Linked DNA regions of Nothobranchius furzeri. The protein of the gene in region 3 interacts with the protein of the main gene of each other region in a pairwise test. Links are inferred from orthologs where the notes say so. Each region holds a gene or a part of one and is shown on either strand. Other genes may lie near its edges. The genes, in order: gnao1b, gnaz and rgs19.

Region 1 (3,755 bases), on a different chromosome or scaffold from region 3:
GACGTAAACCAGATTGTTAGGTGAGTCTCGCGCGGCCATCCCTGTGTGGGAAGCAAATGTATCATAGAAACGTGAACTCAAAATAGTTAATTCTTGTGTGTGCGATTAAAACTATTGTAATGATTTCTCATTTATAATGTAAGTTTGATATTTTTTTTACATTTGGACAAAGTTTTTTTAGGAAGCATTTTTGTTGAAAATTTTATTTCCTTAATGTTTCTGATGCAAAATGACCAAATTTAGCTAATTTTAGCGGTAGGAATATTTGACTTACCGTTTGTATAAAACGTGTGAATTGGAATTTTTAGCAGAAATGTTAAATAAAATGTGTTTTCGTATTGTTTTACCATGTAGCCTAGATCTGTGTATAAAAGAAAGCCCACAACACTAGTGGGAAGCGTTCAATAATTTAAGAAGGAATGACTGACATATGTCAGATTTTCACTGAGCATAAAAACGGCCTTTTTAGAAACTTGCAATGTATATTTCCGCTAAAATAATTGAACAATCGATGCCTTACATATCCATCTTATGATTAAAACTCTTTTAAGCTCGCAATATATTTTAAATTCGATACGATGCCATGTGACCGATTACACACCAACCCACCTTAAATCAGAATTTTCAAAAATGTAATTTAAATCGACCTATTTCTGAACAGGAGACATGTAAAACGTTGTTGATTATATGCGGTAACAGCCTGCCATACCACCTCCTGCCAGCCTTCGTGAAAGTATACGGTGAAATCGCTCGTGCTCTCTGTCATCATCACCAGCGCCGCCCTGTAGAGAGATAGAGCTCGAGACCCCCCCGCTCTCCCCGCCTAACAACAACCCCAACCCTGCAGGCTAGCGCACAGCGACCCCACCCCCCCACCCCCCTCTGAGAGAGGGGACGGAACGGAGAGTGCACATTCACGGAGAGAAGACTGTTTCGGGATCCCGGCTCTATTTTCCGCTCCGAATCCGGGCCTATGCTGTAGCAGACAGCGCGGGAGGAGAGCGAGACTGAGAGACACCGCGGCGACCGAGAGCAGGAGAGGGACAGGGCGGACTGGGGACTCGACGGGACCGCTCATTCGCCTGGAAACATGGGGTGTACACTGAGCGCCGAGGAGCGCGCAGCTCTGGACCGGAGCAAGGCCATCGAGAAGAACCTGAAGGAGGACGGGCTGGTCGCCGCCAAGGACGTCAAACTGCTCCTGCTCGGTAAGGGAAGCGGCGGCGCGGCCGCGGGGCTGCTGCTGGGACTGCGTGGGGCGGAGGTGCTCTCCGTGGTACTGATTTCAATGCCTGCTCTCTCTCTGCCCTCCGTTCTTTGCAGGCGGCGGAGAATCCGGGAAAAGTACCATCGTCAAACAAATGAAGTAAGTGTCAGCCTGATTTGTTTATTTATTTATATCATATCGGTATTCTCCAACTCAGCCGGAGTGAAAGGCCTGAGATTGCGCCTCCCCTGTCAGCACTAAGGCAGGTTGAGCCGCCATGTTTCCGAGAGGCCGAAGCCCCGGAGGAGCACCGGTGACTCGAGCACCTCCTGCAGACCGTCAGCAGGGCTGCGGAGGCCGCCGGTGCGTCCCAGGGTGCTGTTCACTGCCGGGGTGCTGAAATGTAGTTAACGAAGGTTTTGCTTGACTACGGGGAGTGTGCCACTGGGGACGTGTGTGTGTCTGTGTCTGTGTGTGTGTGTGTGCAGTGTGTGTGCGCGCGTGCGTGTGTGAATTACAGTGAGGTCACTGCTGTTCCATTAGTGAATACCTCTGCTTTTAATCTTAATGGCTTTAAGTGCCTGATATCGCCGGGAGTACTTTGCCTATAAAGCGGATTTACGCAGAAATATGGCTCCTAAAACCGCATCTAAACCTTTTCGTGTCTGAGCTAAATGACTCTTTGGTGTTTTAAACGACTGCTTTTGTTTCATGTAAACCTCTTAGTCAAGTTTCTAGATGTTTCTGCACAAAAAACCAGAGCTCTTTCACATTTTGTCCCGTCAACCATGCAGCAGCTCTTTTGTGAGCAGCATCTGAGTGTCTCCTCCTTCCTGCTCTGCTCTGCACTCTGCATCGACTCACTGCACCCTCCCTTTTTCCTCTTCATTACCCTCCCAGAGCTCCCTGGTTGTCCATAACTTACTGCTCTGCTCCGAACCAAGATGCTGGTCCAAATAGTGTTTACAAATACTCTCCGGGCTTGCTTTAGCCACGGGCCAGCAGCAGATGGATGGGTTTTACTACATGCTCTGGGTCATAAAGTCTAGGTATCGGAGGGTTCATGCACTGGGCTTTGCTGTGATTCTTTGCCTCATCCTCATCACCATCATCTTCACATCCAGACGAGCTTCTCTGGTTTGGCCCATGAGCGAGACGGTGGAGTCATGTCCAAACTAACAGGGACGAGTTGACTTCAAGAACAATTTAAAGGGCGTTGTAGATTTTAATAATTACTCAAGTAGGCTGCTGTAGAAACATCAGCGGTTTATTTTTTAACTACTGCTGATAAGTTATTCTTTAAAACCAATAACAACAACAATAATAATAATAATAATAATAATAATAATTATTATTATTATTAGCATTTAGTCTTTCCAAATGTTCAAGTTGATAATATTCATCTGTTTGCTCCATAAAGCTTCAGCCTCAGCTCATCCCCACCCCCCCTCCCCTGAGGGTCAATTTATTGTATTTCATAAAACTGTTAATTGTGATGATGGTGCTGGAGATTCAGGCCAGGTGGCTGTAGTCGGCTGTGAAACATCTTTTCATAATGTGCCCTGATGAGATGAAAACAATCATCCCACATCTTTTCTTTTAACCCCACCCCTCCTTGCTGTACGGCGGTGAGAATGAAGTAGCTGTGGGAGTGGGCTTCTGGAGGATGTTTTATAGATCTGGTCAGGGTGAAGATGTGCCGCTGATGGATGCTTTAATGCTGTAAGAAGTTTAACAGTCCAGAGTTGTGGAGCCGTGATTGATCAGTGGTCTGATTGATTTCAGTTCATGAATTATAAATGACTGAAATATCACATTACTGCCCGGTTACACATCGCAGAGAGAGAATATGACCATTTCCCGTTAGGCTCATGCTTAGATGAGAGAAACATGGGGAGAGGATGAGAACAAACATAATAAAATAATCACTACACACACACACACACACACACACACGCAGGCCTACTGAGTTTCATAAAAACCTGGGGCTTTTATTGTAACAAGATAGCTGTTTTGTAACGCAGGAACATATGGACATTTGCAACTTTTTTCCTGCTCGGTCCAGGCTTTGATAATATCTCCGTACGCATGCAGGATTATCCATGAAGATGGCTTTTCTGGGGATGATGTGAAGCAGTATAAGCCAGTGGTCTACAGCAACACCATCCAGAGCTTGGCAGCCATCCTCCGAGCCATGGATTCCCTCGGGATTGAGTTTGGAGACAAGGACCGGAAAGTTAGTCTCACTCATATCCTACCAAGTTTTCTAAAGATTAGCTTTGCTTTTCCTAAAGATAAAAAAACATTTTCTGGGAATATTTGACCTGTGACAGTAAAGAAATGACTGCAAATCATCCCAGAAAGTCGTTTGAGCTGCTGGTAAATAATTAACAAGCAGACATTTTTTCTTCTGCTCCTCTGAACTTATGAAACATGTTTCATCCAGGCCGATGCCAAGCTGGTCTGTGATGTCGTCAGTCGTATGGAGGACACGGAGCCGTACTCCGCAGAGCTTCTCGCTGCTATGAAGCGTTTATGGGCCGACGCC
Region 2 (3,655 bases), on a different chromosome or scaffold from region 3:
CGAGTTCCTTTACATTTTCCACGTGGTGGAGGACCATGGGGTGCCGCCAGAGCTCGGAGGAGAAGGAAGCAGCGCGGCGCTCGAGGCGAATCGACCGCCACTTGCGCTCGGAAAGTCAGCGGCAGCGGCGCGAAATCAAGTTACTGTTGCTGGGTACCAGCAACTCGGGCAAGAGCACCATTGTCAAGCAGATGAAGATCATCCACAGTGGTGGCTTCAACCTAGAGGCCTGCAAGGAGTACAAGCCTCTGATTTTGTACAATGCCATTGACTCACTGACCCGCATCATCCGTGCCCTCACCACCCTTAAGATAGACTTTCACAACCCTGACCGCGCCTACGATGCCGTGCAGCTCTTTGCCCTCACAGGTCCAGCAGAGAGCAAAGGAGAGATCACCCCAGAGCTGCTGGGGGTGATGAAGCGTCTGTGGGCGGACGCTGGGGTCCAGGAGTGCTTTCAGAGGTCCAATGAATACCACTTAGAGGACAACACGGCCTACTACCTGAACGACCTGGACCGCATATCTGCGCTCGAGTACATCCCCACTGTAGAGGACATCCTGCGCTCCCGCGACATGACCACAGGCATTGTGGAAAACAAGTTCACCTTTAAGGAGCTCACCTTCAAGATGGTGGATGTGGGTGGACAGCGTTCGGAGAGGAAGAAGTGGATTCACTGTTTTGAGGGCGTGACTGCAATCATTTTCTGTGTTGAGCTAAGTGGCTATGACCTCAAGCTCTACGAGGACAACCAGACGGTAAGACTAATCTCTTTAAAGGACCCGGTTCTACACACACACACACACACACACACACACGCGCGCACACACACACACACACACACACACACACACACACACACACACACACACACACACACACACACACACTTACTTGTTAATTGGCTTTGTGTTTCATCTTATGTAAGTTAATTATTGATGAAATCATAAATATAGTGGTCATGATTCTCAGTCAACCAGATGAAGATAATTTTGTTTTTAGTTACAAAACCATTCGCCGGCTTTTTGGCAGACACAGCCGAGATGGAAATTTTCAGAAATAAACAAGTACTGTTTGGAACAAAAGATTTATGTCTTCCGAGAAACAACAAAAGTTTGTTCTGCTGTGTCATTTCCTCCCTGTAGATCCCCTACTACACTAAAAAACAAAATACCCCGGAACACAAGCAGGTCTAACTCAGACTATCTGAGTTTACATAATGGCAGATTTATGTTCGAAGTTAGTTTATCTTACTTTTTGAATCCTTTTTTATTTTACAAGATGATTTTTTATCTAATGACTGTAAGTACAAAAAGAAATGTGTTGTTTTATATGTAATACATATTTAATATGTATTATACGTGATATTAAGTTAAAGAAATTGGGGAAAAAATCTATGTAATCTTTATAAAACAACAAAAATATGAAAACTGGCTCATTTGCTTTACATTGGAACAAGTTCTTTGTTTCCAAAAGATGTTGTGTGTTGAGTTTCCTTGCCTTTGAACCATGATGCCTCTAGTTATTACAGCAAACATGCAGCCACAGTAGATCTGTGGTAATGGAGTATTTCATTACTAGTTAGCCCCATCAACTAATTCATTGTTTTTTACTAGACAGCTAAATGTTAAATTGAAGCTGGAACAAAAAACATCTGCCCAGTTTTAAGTCTTATTCCCTCAATGTAAACAAATGGAACGTTGTTCTTTTTAAAAAGTAAAAAAGTGGCCAACTTAGTGACTTTTTACTATATTTAGAAAGCCACTAGGGAGAAATCTAGCTACTGTCTTATTATTGGAGAATCATGTCAACTTAAATTAATGCTTTCTTTCAACTCTAAACGTCAAGTTGTACAAATATGATAAATAATAACTATGCATTGTTATAATATTATATTGTGAGTTGAAACAACAAATCTTGTTAGATAACCAAGTGGAAAAACATTTTGTCTTGTTAAACATACCCACAGTTCTACTTTATCTTAACTTATAAATTTAAGTTAGACATTGATGGTTGTCCATTCAAATTACAAGTTAATGTTAACTGGACAAATAGAATAATTGTTTGAACTCGTGTTACCAGCTGTCATGCCAGCAGGGACCTAAAGTCTCCTCCCTTTCCGGTCGGCTCATGGGACCCCGGAAGAATGAAAAAAATCAATGCAAGTCAACGGGGCTAAAAACGCCATTTTCTAATCTGCTTTGCTTTAGACCCTGGATTGCACATATGTTGTACTGCAATTTAAATGAAAACTAATGATGGGTGTTTCCATCACACCTGTCACGTACTTTGAGATTTATCAGTTTGTAAAAGTTCATAATTAGCATGACTACAAACCAAACATCGTCACTTCGCATATGTGACGTCACCACACAATATCTTCTCCTCTAGCGTAACTGCTACTTACCAAATGTCCAGATTTATGGTGGTTCTTTCCTCCTGAAGGAAGGATTTGAAGTTCACTGAACTTACAGCCATTTTCCCTCTGTTTTTCTCCATGTCTGGTTCAATGACGTCACTTCCAGGAAGCGTAATTGTAGTCCCGGACTTATTTTCATACAAAACCTAAAATAGCTTTTCCTCCAGTGCAAAAATAAGCACTTTATTGGTATCAAAATGCATTTTTTAAATTCACGGACAACATATGTGAAATCCATAGAACATAACAAGCGGAATCAGAAATAATGTTTTTAGCCCCATTGACTTGCATTCATTTTTTCATTTTTCAGGGGACCCATGGTCCGGAAGTTGATGGGCATGACTTAGGCTGGCCATACAGGCAAAGGGTGATGCAGGAAGCTAACAGCAACACTGTGTTTCTCAATGTCAAGGTGCCTGGCCACCAGGCACCTTGCTTACAAGGACACTGTACTTCCTTGGTCAAAGAAAACGGTTAAATGGAACAGGCGTTCATCATGTGACTGTGGCTTCCAGGGCAGGCACATAACATTACGTGATATGGGAGATGACATTATATTTTAATCGTATAAGCTTCAATATAAATATGTCAAGCCAATTACTCTTTAAATTGTTTATATATTTGTGAAATTAAATATATATGTGAGTTACTACCCGCTAGCCACCAAAGCTGCAACTAGTAAGCAACTAACCAACCATAGATAACTTCTTTGGATCTAAAAAAAACCTTTTAAATTAGTTGACTTACTTTTAAACTTGAAATTTGCCTCCGAAGCTGCTGGCTTCTGATCTGCCATCCTTTTGAAAATAGTGCAGTGTAATTTGGGAAAATTTTGACCCAGGCTAGGCTACAAGACACCTCCTGAGTATCCTTGCTCAGCTAGCTAAACGGCTAACAATTGAAGAACACATGCCTCGATAGAACATGAACATTGGAACACGTCTTCGCAGCTCCTGATGACGTATCTCCTAGGTAACCGGGGTGGGGCCAAGACATCAAGGCGAGGTTCCTTGGCTTTGAGAATCACCCAGTGAAAAGTGCTGGCTAACTCGTGCCTCATACACCACATGACTGCAGTGGGAGTGGAACACAAGGAGAAGACTCTTGAGCATTTTGTGTGAACCACCCCTTTATTTAATGCAGTGAAGTGGAATGGCACAACGTTCTTATTCCTACAACCTCCTTCCTCACTTATGATGCCAACATGACAACAACAAATAACTCCACATTTGGAAC
Region 3 (3,755 bases):
TAATCTTTGTGTCATGTGACATCCCGTTGTCCCTCCTTTTCTGCTACGCTAATAATATTTTGGTAACAGGGTTGAACATATGTTGTGGGACACAAATCCCATGCATTTTTAGTAGAGCTGCACAATATATCGCAAATATATCATTATCTCGATGTCAGCATGCGCAACACGCATATCGCAAAGAACAGATAAACATCGCAATTAGAGCTGAAACAACTAATCGATTTAATCGATTATAATCGATTATTAAAATTGTTAACAACTTTTTTAGTCATCGATTAGTTGTTTACTAATCACATTTTACCGCATAAAGTCTTTTTTTACCACAATCTGACATCTGTTACAATCTGTTAAATTTGCCGCCAGTGTGTGGCAGTAATGAGCCACTGATCTACCAGTGGAGCCGTAGAAGAAGAAATGAGCCAATAAGTGCCCTCGGTTTTCACGACGCATCACGTTACTGACGCTCATCTTGCTGTGAGAGATGGCGGAACAAGAAGAAATACGGAAGAAAAATAGAAGCGACAAAACTGAAGAGAAACCCCGGACAAAAACCTCACAAGTATGGGAGCACTTCACTCTAGATGCCTTGAAAAGACGGGTGACCTGCAAAATATGCAAAAACCATCTAGCATGGCACGGAAGCACGACGTCCCAAAGTGAACATTTGAGACGAAAACATGTGGGGGCTGATGCAGCAGAGGAAAGTCCGGTAAATCCGGTAAGTAACAGAAAATAAACAAGCTAACGCAGATCAAATTTGGGAGCTGAGTTCGTTATAGTGGATGTTAAACATGTTTTTTTGCCGCGTCAGTCTACGGTGTTCTACTTCTGATTGGCTAGATGCAATCGTGAATCTCCTCCGTGTTGTGTATCATGCACTTGCCAAATTTAGCACATCTGTTTATAAGAATGTTCTCGTTAAGATAAAAACGGCACAAACCCATAACTATGTTCCTCATTCAAAAAAGGACAACTCCGCGGAGAAAAATATACAGACGAGCTGTGTCCAGGTGAATATAACGCGGCATAGTTGTACGCTTTCAATTTTTAAATACAGGAGAAATTCAGAAAGTCCTTTTTTACTATTAAAAGGCTGTTTTACTATCCAACGCTGTAAAACGCCTCACAACACATTTTTGTCAAAATAAATGATCACTGTATATTGTTAATTAATTCAAATAATGTAATATTGATTGAGTGTTGTAGTGTGTGTGCTGCTTTATTTTATATGTGTACTTATTTCAGTCTATTTGTGTTTCTTATGCAGAAAAAAACAAGCAATGATGGACAACTACATGGGGAACAAGACACTCACCCCCCAGCAATGCATACCACTTACAAACTCTATTCTAGATTCTACATTATTTTTATGGAATTTACCTCTCATATTTTGATGCCAAAAAATTATTCTTTTACAACGCTGACTGTGTTCATGTGCAATAAAATAGATTGCAGTCAACTGCACAATTCTCTTATGTTTTTCTTTTTCTTAACTGAAATGTATTCATCACTTGTATAGGTTAAATAGCTAAACAATAACAAACCGATTAATCGAAAAAATAATCGACAGATTAATCGATTATGAAAATAATCATTAGTTGCAGCCCTAATCGCAATGAATGGCCAGCTCAGATGTTTGCTACGCATAATGGATTCTATCAAAAGGAAGCATGATGTTTCTTTAACAAATCAACAAGGAGCTCTTCACCCATTTGGCCAATTGGGTGGGTTCTCTTGGGTTAGAGTCCCGCCCCCGAGGCGGACGACACTTAATTTTGACAGTAAACACCTGAGCTAGCGTTGTTCTGCTCTTTCTGCTGATTCTGCTTTTCCCGGGATCCACTGATTCCCTTTTCTTGTTCGTTTTTCCCCCCTTTCCTCACATCTTTTGCTTTTCTAATTTTTATGAATTTTTTCTTCTTTGTTTTTGATTATTTTTGTTCCTGAGTTAAGTTTTAATTTATCGCAAGTAATATCGTCATCGCAATATTAATCATTGTTTTAGTGTTATTTAAATGCGTTGATGATCATAGTAATAGTTTTAACAATTACTACAAACACATGTAAACAAAATGAGGCAAAAAAGTATATTTAAAACGTATTTTAACCATTTTATTTGACATCGGTGGGACAAGAGAAAAACAGCATTTTAGGGAGCTTTGACATTTGCATTTTCAAAGTTATTTAGAAACATATTTTACAGTTGTTTTAAAGAAAAACAATAATTTAGAAGGTAAATATGTGTTTTAGGGTTTTGTGCATGGATTGTTTGATTATAGTGGGTGGGACAGAAAATGTCCCTGAATTCTGGAATGACCCAGGTGCCACGAGCCAGAGGCCCGGGAACAGGTGACTCCTCAGCAGGCATAAAACAAAGGTAACCGCTACTTTTCTGCTCAGGGGGGCAGAAACGCCCCCGTTCGACTCTACGTCACGAAGAAAACCGAATCAGTGAGGCGGAAAACGGCGAACCGGAGGGTTCGCTCGCTCCGTTCACCGCTCGCAAAGAGAAAGGAGGCGAAAAAAAGAAACGAAAGGGCACTCCGGCGGAGGAAGGAGGCAAGAGAGGGGAGGAGGAAAGGAACCAAGGAGACCTGAAACCAGCTCCCCTCCCAACTTCCAGCCCGCTCAGCAGCAGATACTCACAATCTGGGCATGAGGACGGTTCGGAGGGCGGGATCCGCTGCGCTGTCGGAGACACATCTGTGAGACGGCTTTCTGCCCTGCTGTCCCGCACCGGGGAACCGGGGCACGTGCCCCTGGAGTCCTATCTTCTTTATTTACCTTCCTGTGTCGATGTGTCTGAAGGAGTCCTCCTCCTCCTTCCGCCGCTCTCCTCCTGCTCGGATTTTCCCAGCGAGCGCGAGCGCGCGCGCGCGAGAGAGAGAGAGAGAGAGAGAGAGAGAGAGAGAGAGAGAGAGAGAGAGAGAGAGAGAGAGAGAGAGAGAGAGAGAGAGAGAGAGAGAGAGAGAGAGAGAGAGAGAGAGAGAGAGAGAGAGAGAGAGAGAGAGAGAGAGAGAGAGAGAGAGAGAGAGAGAGAGAGAGAGAGAGAGAGAGAGAGAGAGATCACCACCCTGGCGGGCACGGTCCACACAGCGCATGCGCGGAGCCACATGTTCGTTCATGCAGAAAACCCGGAGTACCTGGAGTATTTTCTGCTACACACTAAAAGGGGGTTAAAAATAAACCACAAGCTTAGGCAATGAATTATACATTTGTTATATTTTATATTTATATATATATATATATATATATATATATATATATATATATACACACATACACATACTCAAATATTTTTTGGACCGTCTGCAGTGTCACAAGTTTTATTTCCATCCAGTGTTGCCTTCATTTTTAAGTACTTCTAATAGATTAGAAATCCCTCAGTGGCATGGGGCAGAATACATGTCCGAACTCCTTCAGGTGTCTACGCCCAGCAGGGCTCTGAGATCCTTAGGAAACAGTCAGCTGGTAGAACCTTGGGTCAGTGATGATGATTTTAGCTACTATGCTGCAAACGGTTGTGCCCCAGCTCTAGTAGCATTTAAATCCAAAATCAAATTTAAAAAGCCTGTTTGCTATTAGAACTGTCCATAGGCTCATCTATTGGCTTTGCTGATTCTTGCTAATGTGTGACTGGCCATTCCTGCCACCTGTGTACTTGACAGTTCTGGATTCCTGACATTGCATATAAGAACCTCTAGGCTGTAGTTTATACATATTTTTTGTATACTTACTGTAAAGTCCCCCCG

Evidence for each region.
Region 1: the proteins of rgs19 (region 3) and gnao1b interact in a two-hybrid assay, tested with the Homo sapiens proteins (2 studies listed by BioGRID). The link is inferred for Nothobranchius furzeri from reciprocal best matches to the Homo sapiens genes RGS19 and GNAO1.
Region 2: the proteins of rgs19 (region 3) and gnaz interact in a two-hybrid assay, tested with the Homo sapiens proteins (2 studies listed by BioGRID). The link is inferred for Nothobranchius furzeri from reciprocal best matches to the Homo sapiens genes RGS19 and GNAZ.

Annotation. Positions count from the first base shown.
Region 1 is NC_091749.1:60,166,237-60,169,991, forward strand, and holds the start of gnao1b (guanine nucleotide binding protein (G protein), alpha activating activity polypeptide O, b), read left to right. Parts: upstream 1-940; 5' UTR 941-1,090; coding exon 1,091-1,208; intron 1,209-1,323; coding exon 1,324-1,366; intron 1,367-3,301; coding exon 3,302-3,443; intron 3,444-3,653; coding exon 3,654-3,755. UniProt on the Homo sapiens protein: Guanine nucleotide-binding proteins (G proteins) function as transducers downstream of G protein-coupled receptors (GPCRs) in numerous signaling cascades.
Region 2 is NC_091746.1:50,897,182-50,900,836, reverse strand, and holds part of gnaz (guanine nucleotide-binding protein G(z) subunit alpha), read left to right. Parts: 5' UTR 1-35; coding exon 36-758; intron 759-3,655. UniProt on the Homo sapiens protein: Guanine nucleotide-binding proteins (G proteins) are involved as modulators or transducers in various transmembrane signaling systems.
Region 3 is NC_091755.1:43,015,875-43,019,629, forward strand, and holds the start of rgs19 (regulator of G-protein signaling 19), read right to left. Parts: upstream 2,917-3,755; 5' UTR 2,707-2,916; coding exon 2,650-2,706; intron 1-2,649. UniProt on the Homo sapiens protein: Inhibits signal transduction by increasing the GTPase activity of G protein alpha subunits thereby driving them into their inactive GDP-bound form. Binds to G-alpha subfamily 1 members, with the order G(i)a3 > G(i)a1 > G(o)a >> G(z)a/G(i)a2.